Linked DNA regions of Arabidopsis thaliana. The protein of the gene in region 3 interacts with the protein of the main gene of each other region in a pairwise test. Each region holds a gene or a part of one and is shown on either strand. Other genes may lie near its edges.

Evidence for each region.
Region 1: the proteins of SGR5 (region 3) and CRC interact in binary tests that used the Arabidopsis thaliana proteins (3 or more experiments, as listed by UniProt).
Region 2: the proteins of SGR5 (region 3) and ARIA interact in binary tests that used the Arabidopsis thaliana proteins (3 or more experiments, as listed by UniProt).

What each region holds. Positions count from the first base shown.
Region 1 is NC_003070.9:26,006,735-26,011,044, forward strand, and holds CRC (Plant-specific transcription factor YABBY family protein), read right to left. Parts: upstream 2,408-4,310; 5' UTR 2,207-2,407; coding exon 2,105-2,206; intron 1,927-2,104; coding exon 1,807-1,926; intron 1,714-1,806; coding exon 1,605-1,713; intron 1,505-1,604; coding exon 1,456-1,504; intron 1,341-1,455; coding exon 1,265-1,340; intron 1,169-1,264; coding exon 1,106-1,168; intron 1,027-1,105; coding exon 1,000-1,026; 3' UTR 616-999; downstream 1-615. Other genes in the region: AT1G69170 (Squamosa promoter-binding protein-like (SBP domain) transcription factor family protein), read left to right, coding at 1-307. UniProt on the Arabidopsis thaliana protein: Transcription factor required for the initiation of nectary development. Also involved in suppressing early radial growth of the gynoecium, in promoting its later elongation and in fusion of its carpels by regulating both cell division and expansion.
Region 2 is NC_003076.8:6,507,006-6,514,454, forward strand, and holds ARIA (ARM repeat protein interacting with ABF2), read right to left. Parts: upstream 5,797-7,449; 5' UTR 5,697-5,796; coding exon 5,444-5,696; intron 5,362-5,443; coding exon of another isoform or gene 5,359-5,361; coding exon 5,201-5,358; intron 5,009-5,200; coding exon 4,836-5,008; intron 4,753-4,835; coding exon 4,632-4,752; intron 4,565-4,631; coding exon 4,490-4,564; intron 4,399-4,489; coding exon 4,304-4,398; intron 4,138-4,303; coding exon 4,062-4,137; intron 3,845-4,061; coding exon 3,737-3,844; intron 3,316-3,736; coding exon 3,187-3,315; intron 3,095-3,186; coding exon 3,026-3,094; intron 2,877-3,025; coding exon 2,817-2,876; intron 2,663-2,816; coding exon 2,539-2,662; intron 2,415-2,538; coding exon 2,275-2,414; intron 2,192-2,274; coding exon 2,128-2,191; intron 2,047-2,127; coding exon 1,967-2,046; intron 1,793-1,966; coding exon 1,728-1,792; intron 1,609-1,727; coding exon 1,491-1,608; intron 1,442-1,490; coding exon of another isoform or gene 1,402-1,441; coding exon 1,277-1,401; intron 1,190-1,276; and 3 more. UniProt on the Arabidopsis thaliana protein: May act as a substrate-specific adapter of an E3 ubiquitin-protein ligase complex (CUL3-RBX1-BTB) which mediates the ubiquitination and subsequent proteasomal degradation of target proteins.
Region 3 is NC_003071.7:430,385-435,616, reverse strand, and holds SGR5 (C2H2-like zinc finger protein), read right to left. Parts: upstream 3,343-5,232; 5' UTR 2,966-3,342; coding exon 2,806-2,965; intron 2,771-2,805; exon of another isoform or gene 2,606-2,770; intron 2,493-2,605; coding exon 2,106-2,492; coding exon of another isoform or gene 2,090-2,105; intron 1,494-2,089; coding exon 700-1,493; 3' UTR 540-699; downstream 1-539. UniProt on the Arabidopsis thaliana protein: Transcription factor involved in inflorescence stems gravitropism, probably by regulating starch accumulation in amyloplasts of graviperceptive cells. Required for stem circumnutation movements. Regulates lateral organ morphogenesis and gravitropic responses.

The DNA.
Region 1 (4,310 bases), on a different chromosome or scaffold from region 3:
TCTCTCTCTTCTGTCAGCTCAGTCCCAACAACACTTGTCTAAGTTTCCAAACACAACGTTCTCAATCACCCAACCCAACCAAAATCTCAATCACTCATCATCAACTGACTATCATCAGATGGAACAACCGTTGTGGATCGATCCTGGCAAGACCAATTCTGCTGGTTCTAGTTCTTGTAAAGGAAAAGGAACATCCACGGTTGATCTACTGCAACTGTCATCACATCTTCAAAGAATCGAGCAACAGAGGAATTACACTGGTGATGTGAAGCAGGAATATAATGAGCTTTATTTCCCTGGCTCCTAATAAAAGGTTACAACATTCTTATTCCTTTAAACCGGTTCGAGTTTCTTGAGATTGTTCTGCAGAAGGACAAGACAAGCCTGCATGGCTTGATTAGTTTGTGATTAGATAGAGGAATTAAGAGGATCAGATCATGTTACACGTATTATTGTAATTTGTAACTGTTGTGTTATTATTCACCAGTCAATAATGTTCTGAAGAAAATTGCTTCAGATATCTATGCCTACTTCCTTTTCACAGCGTTACAGACAATTTGTATATATACATGTAATGAATATTCGCTGAAAAAGTGAATTTTTACTTTTGTTTTGTTTTGTTCTGTACACTCACGTCATCTGAGGACTGATCTGAGATTCTCGAGTTCGAAGTTACGATGTTGAAAGTTGCAAATCATTGGGGAAAAGAAAAAGTGTCCCAGATGGAATTAAGGAATACGCATATAAAATTTTGATAGGATTAAGACAAATAAAGACCAGACATAAACGTCCAAAGGGACATAGCAAGTGACGTTACTTTCAAATCTAAAGACAGACAGAAATATAAAGTCATAAAAACTAAGGCAACATCATTTTCTGCAACATGACATACATAAGAAAATTACACAGAAGAACAACACAAGATGAGAAAAACGACGCAGCCACTCGCACACGTGCATGCGTTTGTTATTTTTAGGCTTCTTTTCCCCTGAGTTTTGTTCACTTCTTCTCACCGAATCCCAAGCCCTAATTGAACAAAACATTTTAAATCTTTATATAATGTATATAAATATGTCCTTATGCAGACTTAGTTTGTATAGCTTACATGGATCATGTTGTGGCCTCCGGAAGTAATGGAAGTAGGAGAGTTGGGTATGTACTTAGCCCACTGTTTGTGACATTTTTCATTTACACAAACGAAATTGTGAAAAAATAATATTAAAGGTGACAACAATGGTTGGTAACAAAAAGAGACTTGTCTTACATTTTTGGCAGCAGCACTGAAAGCTTCACGGTGTGGTATTTCCGGATTGGCACTTTTGATGCGTTGGATCTCATCCCTTTTTATATTTTGTTTCAAAAAAAGATGAAGAAGAGTACTAAATTATATTTATTTTTTATGCATTAAATTTCATAATTAACTTGGAACTAAAGAGTATATGTCAAAGGTTAAACCTCATGAAGCGGTTGTATGCAGATGGGAGCCTCTGCTTCTTCTCAGGAGCTACAATACCAAAGATGTTCAACAGATAATCATATATATGTAGATAGTGATTAAGTTTATAGAAGAAAAAGGAGTCAGAAATGGTAATAAGCTTAATTACGTTTGACGACAAAGGGAGGTGAGGGAGATGGGGGCTGGTCGCTGGAGGTGGAGGAAGAGGAAGAAGAAGAGCTTCCCTTCTTATAGTCACTTCCACCAAAGCTCTGCATCTGCTTAGTTAAAACAAAGATTGGCTTAGTATCAGTTTTTTGTATAAAAAGAATTATACTCGTATGTATAACTATAACACAAGTGTTATATACCTGAAGGGTGAGGCTAACATGGCCTTGAAGAGGAGGAGTTGTGGTGAGAAACGAGAGGTTACCACAATGGCCGCATTTCACCGTTACCGTGTCAAGCATTCTCTTCAATGGTATCCCAACCTATATATGTGTGTAGATTCGGTTTACAAATTAGCTCGAAAATTTGAAGAAATATATATATATATAACATAAACAACAATATGTATAGCTTAGCATGTATGTGATATTATCAACATATATAGGGTCATGCAAGTATATATATGCTTATATATCTTCTTATATGTAGGTAATAATTTACCGCGAGGATGGTGTTGCAGATGCTACACCGGACGTAGTAGAGATGTTCGGCTTGAGGGGAAGCCCTTGAAGCCGTCATGGTTGGTTTCTCTTCTAGGTTCATGGTCTTTAGCGAATGGATTGAAAACCGCTCTTGAAAGAAAGAGAGAGAGAGAAAGAATCAGAAGAACTTTGTAGAGTTAGGGTTATGCTTATTTTATGAGTTAGGAGGCTTGTATTTATAGAACAATCATAGTGAGACCATGACATATATATATATAGAGAGAGAGAGAGAGCGATACAGATTGTCAAAGTGTTGGACGTGTATATGCAGTCCATAATTGCATTTTTATTGTTTATTTTAACAACATTTAATATCATCTTATCAAAAAAAAAAAAAATGAATATCTTAAACTAATGACTTCTGGTGTAGACACGAGTTTCTAATGGTGACATTATGTGTTTTCTTTTTTTTTTCGTTCTTTTTTTTTGTTAAAGACATTATGTGTTTTCGTTGGATATTTACTTGCTATATATTCTATTTTGTAATCACTGTAAATGTTTTAAAAGATAAAACAAATTGGATCAACAAGTTCGATGATATTAATCTACGTTTCCGCATAAAATTTCTCTGGATATAAAGAAGGAAAAAAAATGATATCATTAAGCTGGCTAGGGATTGCAAGAAAAATTACAAATGTATATTAAACTGATATTTAGAAAAAAGATAGAAGAATTTAATGTAAAAACAAACTTTTTAACAAAAGTAATTTTATGTCAAATCATATATATGAATTAAATTAAAGGGACCGGATCTAGGGGTTTATGACTTTTATCTATGTTGCTACTATTGCAGATGATATAGTACATGCCTCCCTCTGCAAAATCTTGCAGACGTATTTAATTTTGCTTCAAAAATATCAAGACCCTAAATGTCACTCCTCGTACATTAGTTTTTGCTAAAATAAGCTGTGTTGGACATTATTCAACCATGTCTTCGTATAAATATGATTTATAATTAACAATACACCTTAATCATGTGTAATAAAAATAATAACTATTAACTTATCCAAAATTACTCAAGAGAGTGAAAACAATCAATCCAATTAATACTTTCGTAGAATAAATATTTTCAAACAAGCATATACATATGGTGTAAGATACCATTGGTTTAAGATCGATATATCTATGTTTTCACTTTATATTCACTAGCCTCTACATCGTACAGATATTAATTATGACACATATGCGATGCAAAAAGACAAAAATAGATGACCAATTAAGATATTAAAATTATATATTAAACAATACATGGTGTGAATATGATTACATTTATTCAAGTTTGATGCCAGCAAGCCTTGACTTGCCCACATGTTATAAATTAAGAATGGTCCTTTCCTGATCTTTTGATCAGTTTTTTTTTTTTTTGTTTCTCTCATAAAATTTTCACGCAAAATGATTTCACTGCAAAACTGAGGACAAAACTTGTCATGATTCACAACTTTTTTCTTCATCGTGAAATTTTCACTCAATTGCATTAATAAGTTAAATATAAAAATCGTTTAACTGTAGAGAAACAACCAAAACAATGGATCTTCTTCAGAACATCCAACTATACATACATTGGACTCAAAAGCAGAATCTCTTGATTTGCCACTTATATTTATTTTTTTTGTTAAAGGATTTACTTTATGTTTAAGGATGTTTTCTACACTGCACTACAAATTTTCTGTTTGAGGTTATGAGGGTTAACATATATATAAAAGTTAAGTTCTCTATACTGCTGGATTCTGAGTTATGTATAATCATTTTGACATGAGACAAACTATTAGTCCAATCCATAAAAAGAGTGATAACTCATCAACATAGCTTTTTGGGAGCTATACACGCTTTATTGTTGAAATTTGAGACAGAACAAGCATATATATTTGTTGGCATACTAATTATAGAGAAGATGGATTAAGAAGTGTGGGCTTTGAGTTAAATCAAAATCAATTTAAAAAAAATATATTCAAAAAGAGAAACTTGAAAAGATAGTGAAGAAAGGAGGAGCTATAGGATGGATTCCATCTTTTGTGCATGCACTGCCCCCACAGGGAAATTGGAAGGAGACAAGTGATCAATCACACGTCTCTTTCAGTGACTAACTTTTTTGCATTCTTCACTTTCCTTAGATTTCCTACTTCGACACACATATTTAGCTTACTTACAATTTTATTTGATTAGAG
Region 2 (7,449 bases), on a different chromosome or scaffold from region 3:
AATCAGAGGAGGCTCTATCGTAATCACTAATCACTTAGGAGGATTAACATTGAGCCCAAAGGAATAACTAATTGATAAATCAGAAAATGCTGTGACTAAATCAATAACAGAGATTAAGGAGAGTAATCTCGTAAAGATCGGAGATCCTATAAGTGGATAGTTTCGAGAAGAAGCATTAAATCACCAACTACGAGGAAGGAACATCGGTGCTTAATCACAGGGTAAAATCGGATCAGACAAATAATTATCCGTTTGCGATGAGAATAAACGGAAATGAAAAGCGTACCGGACCGATGAAGATTGTCTGAATCTCGGAGCTCTGAGACTCTCTCTGGCTGCAAAATCGAGTGTGTTTTTAGGGTTTCTCCTTCACCGGAGCTCTTTAAAACTCCCTCCTACGTTCGTTGAACCAAAAGTCTCTATAGACTAATTTAAAAAAAAAAAAAAAGAGAAAGGTTAATAATTCATCGTGACTTGAGTAATTAATCACTTTGGAAGAAAACGTAATTAATTAGAACCAACCTGGTAATTTTGAATCTTTCATGTTAAAGAAAACTCCTTTATGTGTAATGTAATTTTCAGTGGCTTGTGCTACAAAATACTTACAAGTTACAGTCTCTAATCATCAGTAATACTTTCGATTGATTCTTTATTTGTAAAACAAAAATGGGATATTATGTTCTGTGTTGAATCATCTCTTAATTATTCAGACATGAACTCACTGGTCACCACTACCAATATCAAATCGTTACAGCTACGCTTAGTCACAACCTACCCAAAGTATCTTTTCTCAACAGAGAGGATAGTTGGAGAGTGGATTTTGAATTGAATAGTGGAAGTTATACCACAATGGTATTTTTGGATACAAAGGGTAGCGATTTCATTCAAGACCGATTGTGATCAGAGGAGATTAATTAATACAATACAAAATGACCAAAACGAACCAAAAAGCACAGCAAATAACTAAGACAACCCAGTACAGGACGATAAAGACCTCTAATGGCGGCTCTTGATCTCTCTCTCTCTTTCTCTCTATATAATTCCTTGTCTACTTACCTCTAGTTAAGTGCAGTCTTCTTCTTCCGCATTCTACAACCTCAAGCTTTGCAGGTTTGTAGTAGACTTTGTTAGGGCTCTACAAAAGTACTCTCTTATCTCTGGTATTGTTCTCTGCACCAGCTCGTTCTGCCTGCATTTTCCATTCACTTTTGTTTCAGACTAATAGCAATAAAACAAATCTTAGTGGAGAGAGAGAGTGACATCTTGTTTATATTACCAAGGCATTGAACTCAGTTTATCGAAATGCTCCAGGATGAACATGATACAAGCTTGCCTCAGCGACATCGCATGGAATGCTTCTGATAGCTCGTACATGTCTCCTATACTTTCCAACGTAATATCCTTTCATATTCAAAGTAACCGTGTCAGATTTCGTTAAGTACTACGCAAACCACATCATCACTTTACATTGTGATATAATTCTGGCTCACCTGAGCAATTGTGTATTCACAGAGTCGTTTCAGGCCCTCCAAGAGATACTGATCCGCTGCTCTTAGAAGATCTTTTGATATCTCATTTGTTATGTCGACAGATCCAGTGTATATAAACCTGAAAATCATAATCCAAGGGAGTCAATTACGTGTATATGAAAAGTTCTCACAGACTTTTCGAAATTTCAATATCTCGAGTGAGTCAATCAAAAGCATGCAGAGGTTCATTCATCATACCTCATCATTAACTCAAACACCTCCCATTTGATATTTGGAATCTCAATATCTCTAGCGTCTTTTTCCTGTGATATAAACGAAACACAAACCGTGACACAATTCAGGTCTAATTTCCCCAAAAGATAATTGTATTCCTTTGATAAATAGCAGACCAGCATACATCCATACGTCATTGTCATCAAAATATCATTTACCCCACAAGAACATTATCGAAAAACCAAAATATTTAGTTCACTTACTCTGTAACCACCATCAAACATTGCACGAAATGCATCTGAGGATGCCAGCAGACAAATTCTGTGTGCATAGAATGTCCTTCCTGCAGTATGATTTTTCTGTTTTACATATGGACTTTGAAGCTAACTAGAGTTCCACAACTTCTGGATTTATATATGATTACCTTCGACTAGAAAGGTTACATCAGACAGCGTAGCATTATTTACATATTGCTCTCCGAGATAAACCTGTCACAAAAAGACATACAGAATACTGCATTGAGACTTCCACCCGTTACCTATAGGAGAACTGAAGCAGAAAGGAAACTCACCCTTTGTGTTGGAGAAGGAGGAGCAGCATCAACTGGAGAAAGTGCCATAGATTTATTTGCTAATTTGTACAACGCTGCTGCACCGTCAAGTTGCTGCTTAGTGTTTAAAGAACCAAGAAGACCGAGTAGCAACTCCAACCCTGTCAAAAGACAACTCAATATTAACTTTTTGGACAAAGAACATCTAAACTGGACGGTTAACGCATTAAACATAACGCATGCATCTCATTTAGCTCATGAAAATATAAAAAAACTGTCACATGCCGTTGTCATCTATGAATATGGTTCGTTGATCCTCGGGTGAACAGAGATGAGCAAGGGCAAGAGCAACTCGTCTTTGGATAGACTTCTCTGAAATGCGCATTAGGTACAACAGATGTCTCAGAACCTACAAAAGAAAATCAAAGCACAGAAATCTCAAAGGTTGAATAAAGAAATGCTAAACTTCAACAGAGCTTCAGAAACTCAACCAGGATAAAGCAGTTTTAGTCATCAAAGATGGAAAAAAAAAAAGAATTAAAGAAAAGTATAGTTTCACTTACTCTTCCATGAATCTTCTCCTCCAATCTCTTTAGTGTTTTGGAAACACAATCTTTAGTTGCCTAAAAAATCATGATATATTATAAACACCTTAAGGGGAAGAGTAAAAAAATACGATTAAAGCTGCTAAGAAACTTCAGTATCTAGCCAATAAAGGAGTATGACAATGTGGTTCTGTAAAGTAGAGGAAGAGTGGCAACGCCATACATACTTGAACAATAAACTCTCCATCCTGTAGCTTTTGGATACCTCCCACCCTGATAAAATCTGACACATTATCCTAGGGGAAGAAAAATGGATCAATAACCCATTTACCGACGTTTACCATCAAATTCTGCATAATGAATAAACCGAAAGTAGCATACAGCACACCTCATTATCGGCAAGGCCATAAAGAGCAAATGCAGCATTGTGTTGCAATGATCCATTTCTTGAATCGAGAAGCTTCAATAAAGGTCCTAAACCACCACTATGGGCAATACCAGCTTGATTGTGGGCATCCTGCAAGAAAGAGTATGCTAGAAATCAAAAGACACATCGGTTTTATTATTTAATATAACTCACTACTTAAAAGTTCCCCCTAATGAAAACAGATTTAGAAACACAATAAGAATACCCATCTTCCACAACCATGGAAGCCAGCTTTTTTAGCATCTATAAATTTAAAATCAAACCAATCTTGAAGTAACCAATAAGAAAACAGTTGACAATCAAGGCAACAGCAAATTATCCAGGATCACTAGGAATTATTTGAAAACACTAAGAAACAAAAGCTACAAATTAATAACAGTTGTGGTATCAAATGTTTGATCTGGAAGTAAGAAGAGGTAACATCTAAAGCGTGAAGTTACTATTTCACAACACTCAAATGGGAATGCGTACACTTTCATAACCGAACTACCAAAAGTTTTAAAAGAAGAACCTGTGCCAATCTACCCAGTGCAAAGGCCGACATTTCCTTCAACTGGACATCCGGGGACTGAAGCATCTCAATTAAAGGACGGACAGCACCCCTTTGCACAATGTGCACCTGCAAAGTTATAATTTGAGCATGAAGTGAAGAATGAACAAAACAAACCTATATAAATCAGGGAAAATGGTAGAATTAGTGAGAAATGGGAAGGTATGTTCTACAAATCAACAGAAACAAACAACTTATCACTTCGTATAACCAAACAAAAAAAGATATAAGGCTTTCGGGAATGGAAAAAGAGCTGAGGATAAAAAAACCTGGGATGAAATTGTACCTTACAATCAGAATCAGTTGAGGCAAACTGCCCAAGTAATAAAGCCGCCTCTCTTTGACTCTCAGGGCAACAGGAGCTGTAAAAGAAAAATTCAAGAAATCAAAAGAATGAACTTGGGGTTAACAGCGAAATAAAAACCTCAACAATAGAGAAGCTGGTAAGATTTCAGCTCTAGCCAAAGTCATAACAACTCTATGCTGAACCATCAACCATGTATATCAAAATGGTGAGGGTCCACATACCTAAGAAGACCAATGACAGGTTGCAACGCCCCGGCAGTAAGAACCTCTTTTTTAATGTGTGGAGACGAGTGTACTAGATTGCCTATAACTCCAACCTTAAAAAGCATGACTCAACTGGTTATTTCAACGTCAATCCCACATAGATAAATAAGTAGCAAAACAGTTGATTATAAAAAGATTCCTAACCGCTTCATAATGTATAGCAGCATCCTCTGATCCTAGCATTAGAATAAGTGTGGGAAGAGCATTGCATTCAACTATCTGCAAAGAAAATAATTATCATGCTCCGGCTAAATCTAAGTAGAAGCTGTAAGATAGCAATATTTACCTGATTCTTGTTATCATCATTTTTAAATGCAAGGGTTCTCAATGCCCCTGCTGCTGCTCTCTGGACCTTTGAATCAGAAAATTCAAGCAACTCCACGAGAGGTGGAATACCGCCTTCTACCCTGTTTGTCAAACTGGAAGTCAAGAGGATAGAGTTGTACTGAAAACAAATCTCGAAAGGAGAAAACCACTTAAATATGCTGACCTAACACGGGTCTTGATACTGCTGTTCTCATGAGCAAGATTGGTGATGGCATCAGCCGCTCTTCTGATAACACTATTCACAGCTCGAGAGCTAGAACCATCTTTGTTTCTCTTCAACAAATTCACTAAATGAGGTAAGGCACCTTTGTCTACTATCAGTTTCTGATACTCTGGCTGTTAAGAAATCAATTCCACAACACGATCACACAAACAATACATAATCCCCTCCGTGTATAAGAGTTCAATTACCAAAATTTTGCCTTAAAAAAAATTGATTTGGATCAACAAAACAAAAAAGGAAACTACTTTCTAACAAGCTAAACACACTATACAAGGAGCTGACATAGAGAAAATGAGGATCACAACCTTAATAGCAAGAAGACCAAGCGCAAAAGCGCTTCCCTTCTCAACTTCGTGTTCGTACGGCTTCTCAGCCAAGTCCCCGTCGTTGTATGGTGGCGCCTGTAGATGCGTCATAAGAGCTGGAACAGCACCTCCGTCGACAATCACGTTCACTAAATCCTCTGCTGAACATCAAAGGTCACTAGTCATGCAACAAAATATGAAGAAACCGGAGAAAAAGGAGTAAGATCGGAAGCTGATTTTCACCGTTTTTGGCTAGCTCAGCCAGAACTTGAGTGGCTCGCTTGGCAGCAGCGCGATCGGACTCTTGCCAAGAGAAGGCAGAGTTTAGTACCGAGACTTGAGCAGCAACCTCGCTAAGAAGCGCTTGGCCTCCGTCGGTGCTGACGGCAGAGATCTCTCGATCTTCTACGGCGGCGGCTCCTTCCTCTAGCTTCCGCTTCTGTCCTTTACGCTCCGGAAAACTCCGGCCTTCTCGCCTCTCCGGTTGTTGGTCCATCGTTCACAAAGTAAAAGACGATCCGAAGAAGAGGAGAGATCAGAGAAGAAGAAGAAGCAGCGTTTTGAAATCAATCTCAGGCACAAAAGAGATCAGGGGTATTTTCGTTATTTCATTCGACTCACAAATAAAAACCCTTTATTTTATTTTTATTTTGTATTTCTAGTTTAAATTGTAAGAAAAGAAAAAAACAAATTCGTACTTGGGATTAGAGTATTAGACATAAATGATCTTTCTTATTAATGTCCAAAGAATGTATAATTGAAACGTTTTTAATTTTTCGTTTACATTTTTGATTGTTTATATATTGAAATGTTTTTAGACAAATATATATATATATATATATATATATTGAAATGTTTTTCTAGCGACATAGTGCTAATTTGCGCTCCTCACTGGTGGTGCCGATTTGCTAACTTGGGCGTACCGGAACTGAAAAGATATTGTCCCACTCCCACCTCGAGGTTGTGCAGTTTTATTGCAACAACTAAAAACTTATTGTTGATGGTTTATAGTCATTATTAGTTGGTATCAATAATAATAAAAATAAGTAATAGTAAGGCTTTTGAACTTTTGGGTGGTCTGCCACAAAGGAGACGTGTTTGAAAGTGTGAATAAAAATATCAAAGAGAGAAGAAAGAACTATTTCTTTAATTTGAGAAGATAAAAGGAACTATTTCTTTATATATGGTGACCACATGAAATCAAAACTTCGGAGGCACGAGCATGCTTTGAACAAACAAAGGGGAAAAAAAAAAGCGAGAACAAACGATAAAGTGGAAGAAAATAAAAGGTTTATTCATAGAATCATAGCTCATTATGATATATGGAATTCAGCAGCATATCTCTTTTTGTGCCTCTCTCAAGAGCAATAGAGCATGTATCTTATTATTTGTGTTTGTAAAAATGTGATTGATTCACTATGAGATCATAAGAAATAATTATTGTGAGGTCTAAAGTGGGCAAATGCCTAGGTAGTGATGTGTGTGATGCTATGTAGTGATGTGTGAAGCTAGCTGGTATCCATATATACATTTTTTTCTTATAAAAGTATCAATATATAATGATATACATGTTACTTGCAATTTTTTTATTTTATTTTACATTTCACATAAATAATATATTTGTTTTGTAACCCAATCAAGATGATATAATGTGGAGTGTCCAATAGAAGATTTTCGAAAATAATGGGCCTGATCATGAGCCAGGTCTCGTTGCTGGGCCATATAGGCATGAAATTCCCACGTCAGCCGCAATGGAATTAACGGAGAGAGAAAAGGTCAAAGGACCTCTCTTTGACTCGCTCTTCGTTTTTGATCTCCGGCCGGACCAGAGGGTCAACACCTTCTGCTCTCTGACCTTACCTAAACCCTGAACCTTCTCCGAATCACATGCCAGACCATTGAGATTGTTATATACTTATATATGTTTGTTTCCTGTGTTTTAGAATCATACAAAACTATAGTCTAACCGGGCCAAGTTCCAAGCAATCTTCTTGAGAAACCAAGACTTGATCTTAGCTAAGTCACAAAACTTCCTAGTGGGTTTCACCCATCCGATAAGAGTTATATTATATCTCACCTTAACGTTGAACTACGAACAAAGACATTAGTCGTTCCAAATTGCTTAAACAAGAACAGTAAAATTCTTTTTTCACATGACACAACATGATTTAAGTTTTTGCTTCTTTTATAGCATGTGTGTGAAGTTAGATATCTTAAGTTACATTCGTCACAAACTGGTAGATGGCGAG
Region 3 (5,232 bases):
ACGGACCAAAACGACATCATAATAGTACATTTCCCATCACTCCATATATCAACTCGTGCCAAGCAACTACTTACCCTCTTTCAAACTTACTAAATATACTGGTATACATTAGATGTCGATAATCTCTATCATGCAGGGACTGTTTTGATCCTTAAAACGTGAGATTTGTTTTCAAATATATCACCTCAAGCTTACCAAAAATAATGTAGACAAATCAAGGATAAGCAAATGTATATTTAACCGAATTCAAATCCGCATATCACATGTTTTATTAAAAAAATTGTATATCCATTGAAAGTTCTAAGCGAATCTAAGGCCAAAGATCAAAACACGCATGTACGGATCTCCACTCTTAACTCCTTCTAAACTACTGTAGACGTTCAAGACGAAAAAATATCTATATAAAAATTTAAATAGTTAATTTCAAGGTTTTTTTTTTGTTGATAAAATTTAATTTTAAGGTTCTATATGAAACCTAGGATAAAATCATTTTTCAACAATTTAAAGTGTAATGTGGCGGAAATGACAGTAACATAGTTACAAAACATAGTCTAATATTGTTGGACCAAAGAAACAACTATATAACAACCATTACATAATATATGGTAGTTGAAAAAATTAACACAACCGGTAATTAATACACAAAAGTATAATAAAGTTAACCTCAATTTAAATATCTTATGTTTTCTTCGGTTTTACTTAAAAACCATTTTCCAACTCTCCGTCAGTATTCGCTGACGACATGTAACTCACGACAAGAGACGTCTCATCAGCCGTAGCCGCCGGAACCGCAACTGCTTGAAACTGTCCTTTACATGTTTGACAAGTGACCTGCATGATCGTTGAACTTATCTTCTTCATAGATTGTTCCTTTAAAAACTTAGCTCTCTCGAGTTCAGCTTGTGCTTTTTGCCTAATCTTTTTGGCATTTGCAAACTCGTTTTCCGCTATCTCTCGTTGCCTCTTGGCTTCTCTTTTAGCTTCCTCAGCGTAAGCTTTCTCCTTCATCGCTATCTTCATAATTTGCTCGCTCGCCATAATCTCTTTTATACGATCAAAGTTGTTGTAATGTTGATATGATGATGATGGTGCAATGGAGAGGTTTAAGTTTGTGGTATCATGATTATGATTATGATGATGAGATGGTTCTTTAACTTTTTGTTGTTGGTTTTCTTGATTAGGGTTTTGATTCGACGATAATGGAAGAAGTTGGAGTTCGAGGTTGAGATTGTTTGATGAGTTGGTGAGAATTGAAGATGAGATTCTCTGATGAATTGGACGGCCTTCTAGAGGTTGAGGAGTCGTAACCGCAACTGTACCGCCGTAATTGGTTTCACTAGACGGAGTGCTGACGGTTGAGGCGGTTCTAGAAGAGCATGCCGGGACTGTTACCGCGGTTTGTGGTGGTCGAGGCGGTTCACGGTGAACTCTCCGTGCGGAACAATTATCTTGATGTTCAATAAAACTCTCCACCCTAAAAGAAGAAAAGAAACCTATCAATTACATAATTTATATGACGTAGGATTATGAAAATGTGACAAAGTTAATAATTTTATATTAAGTTTTTCTGTTTAAACGTCGTTTATTAAATACCTTTGAACTCAAAAATATATATTATTAATATGAGTTTAGGTCCAATTATAACCTTTGTGTCGAAAAAAGGTCCAATAATAACCTAAATACATAAAATATTTCTTTAGAGATTGGGGTCAATGTCATTAATCTAAGTGCTTAACTTTCTTTTTATGTCACAAAAACCAAACAAATAGTCAAGAGATATATTAAAAAACTCTGATGCATACACATCAATACACAGAATTAGTAAAAATCATGAAGGATAGTCAAATCAAATAGTACTATAACTATCAATCTTAGTCTTTGGTCCCTAGAAGAATTTTCTATATTTGTCTTTCTATATGATCTCCTAAATATACAAAACAAACAGAGTCAAATTACTTGTATATTTTAGAAATACTTAACAAATCCTTCCAAAAGTTTGCATATCTTTTCAGAATTAATAATACCAATAATTAATTTATAAAATGGGTCAAAAAAAAATCAAATGATAGAGAGGAACAAGAAATTATACCTGGAGAAGACACGACCACAGTCACAAGAATGTCCTCTAGTACCACAAGTTTTGAGATGAGCTTTGTAATCAGATTGAACAGCATAACCTTTAGAGCATCTCTCACAAACCCATTGCTTATGGTTACTATGTTTTCTTCTGAAATGTTTTTTGATGCCGACAAGATCTCCCAGAGCATGACAAGGATTATGGTGAAGGCAAGTGGGTTCAGGGCAAACATAGACTCGTTTCTTCACCTCTATGTTGTTGTCTCTTTTAAGAAGCTTCCATGGAACTTTGTGACGTCTTCTATGCATCTGGAGATTCTGGTCTCTTTGAAACCCTTGGTTACAGATCTCACATATGTATCTGTCTGATTCAAGAAGAGTTCTTGGTGATAAAGACACAACTTCTGCATCTGGATCTGAAAAGGAGATAAGGCAAAACCCATCAAAACACATGTCTTAGTTGATTAATAAAGTTGAGATTTTAAATGAGGTTTAAGAATTAAAAACAATGAAAACCCATTAATTGTACCTATAACTTTGAAACTGGCAATAAGAAAAAGAGAAATTTTAAAACTAAACCTATAATAAACCTGTATTTCTAATGGGGTTTAAGAGAAAAAAAAAACAAAAAACAATAGTACCCATGAGTTGAAAATTTTCATAAGAAAATAAAAACAAGAAAAAAAGATTTTGAAAAATAAATTTTCTGTAGTGGGGATTTATTATTACCTGGGGTACCTGCAGGTCTTCTTTTCCTCTTCTGAGTGGATGTGTTTGTGGTGGTGACCCCATTTTCTGAAGAGGAGAGGAAAGGATCAGAAGAAGAAGAAGAAACCACACAACATGTGTTTGTGTTCTTGTTGGACAACATCACTTGATCTGTTCTCATCAATTACTCTACTTTTCTTGATCTTTCTTTTTGACTTTATTGTATTTGGATTCTAGAGATTGATTTGATGAAAGAACAAGGCCCAAAGACCAAAAAAAAAAAAAAATGAAAGAAGAAGAGATAGTGGGAGATTCAGCTTTACAAAGAAGAGGAAGGGTGATAAAGAGAGATATAGGGGGAGAGAAAAAGTTCTTTTAAGCTTTCTGCAACAAAGGCTTTTCAAAACTTTTTCTTAGGCTCTTCAAAGTTTCTCTTATGTTAATATGATGAAAGCTTTTTAATTTTCTTGAGTCTCTCTCTCTCTAGCTCTCTCTTTGGGTATATATTTTGACTCTTCTTCAAAAACCTATTTCTCTCTCATACACTTGAGAGTTGAGAGCAAATAAGGGGTCTTTGATGTCTATATTGCTTCTACTTATAAAGCTCATTGCACTATGCCATCATTGCGTAAAATGTATACATACACTCGTGTAGCTAGAGAGAGAGAGAGAGAAGGTGGTGTATTTATTTAGATTTAGATGTAGATTTTAGATTTTTCTTTTTGTTATTTTGTATTTATTTTTTAGACTTTGTTTCTTTGAGCATGTTGGATATATGAATTTTTTGGCTTGGACCCATATCTTGTCTGATTGATGAATTTGTCTGATTTTCTTGAACCTTCACAAACTATTTTTTTTTTTTTTTTTGAAACATTTTATTTTATGTTTGAGATTATCTACATGAGTTTCTTCTAACAAATGAAAAAAAAAAATATATGAGATCATACGTCCACATGTAAGGCTTGCCTTTCATCAAAATATTATGCAGGTTAGAGGCTTAAAATAGCAATAGTTGTATTGTATCTGCAAATTAGGAGAGAATTTATGAATATCGATACGGTGCTAACTCTTAGATGATGTAAGAAGCAATTAAATAATAAGGTTAAGATACTTCATTACTTCTAATTAACTTTTTGACTGTCACTCTCAAGTCCTATAAATAGTGTGATTATACATCACTAATACATCTTGCGTTTCATTATTGTTAAAGCAATCCAATAATATATAGACAATTTAAGAAAAATTGTCATTGTTAACTATATATGAATGTTATGTCATCATGTTTCCAACGTTGGTCCACATACATGTTAAGATTCTTTTCGAATTACACTTGGAAACAAGGAGAGAAAAAAAAAGGTATATGGTTCTTGTGAATAATCCAAGGATAAAAATGCATTATTGCATTAAATACCAAATTCTGTAAGTTTACAATAATGCAGACAAACTATTATTTTTTCTTTCTATTTGGCTTATATAATGGATGTACTAGTGCCCATACATAGTTAGGGGAAGAAAAAAGACAAATATATCAAATTATACATGCGTATAAAAATAATTCAAACCAAGAGTAAATGTGAAAGTAGTATTAGTATGTTTTTATAAAACCCTATTTTAGTAAAATTCATATTCGATCCCTCGCGCACGTGACCTTATGTCTTACTCACGTGACCTCTTTTTCCCTCCACTCTCCACTGTCGATTCCTTTTAGGCTATTGCCTTTCTTCTCAGTCATTCCTTAAGAAGGTTCATTAACAGATCTAAGAATGTTACTGGATCAAGAATGAAATGAATCTTATATGAAAACATTTTTTTTTTTTTGATGGAACTCATATGTAGACTACCAAAATTAATCATTATTATGGTTTAAATTTTCTCAATCATAAGTTTTGTTACTTTAACACATTTTCTCTGTTTCAATTATGGTTTAAATTTTCTCAATCATAAGTTTTGTTACTTTAACACATTTTCTCTGTTTCAATTGTAAATGCCATATGTATTCCTTCCTTAGCTTGATCGCTATTCGCTACTAGTTGTTTTTATTTTTGTTATTGCCGAATAATAAATTAATTTGCAGATAAAAGAAACAAAAGATACCTCATAATGTTTTTTGTCAGTTGTCAAAAATTGGTTCTAAATGGACCGAAAGGAAAAACAGAACAAATTAGACGAGAAGATGTGATCGAGTTACTACGGTGACAGCTTTGTATAAAGGAAAGAAATGAGATCGTGTTTGTAATCATTTCCTAAGATGAGATTACTCTCCCATCTCTTACTTAACCCTTTGCTTATCGATTATTACCACTGATTAGATCTTTTCTAGCTGATACATAATGCATGATATTTATTTCGGAGCTACAAAATTATAAATTTGTAGTTTCTAATCGTTATATATGGACTTGAGAGACCACAACATCTTAAATGAATGCAAAAATTCAAAAAGAAACAAAA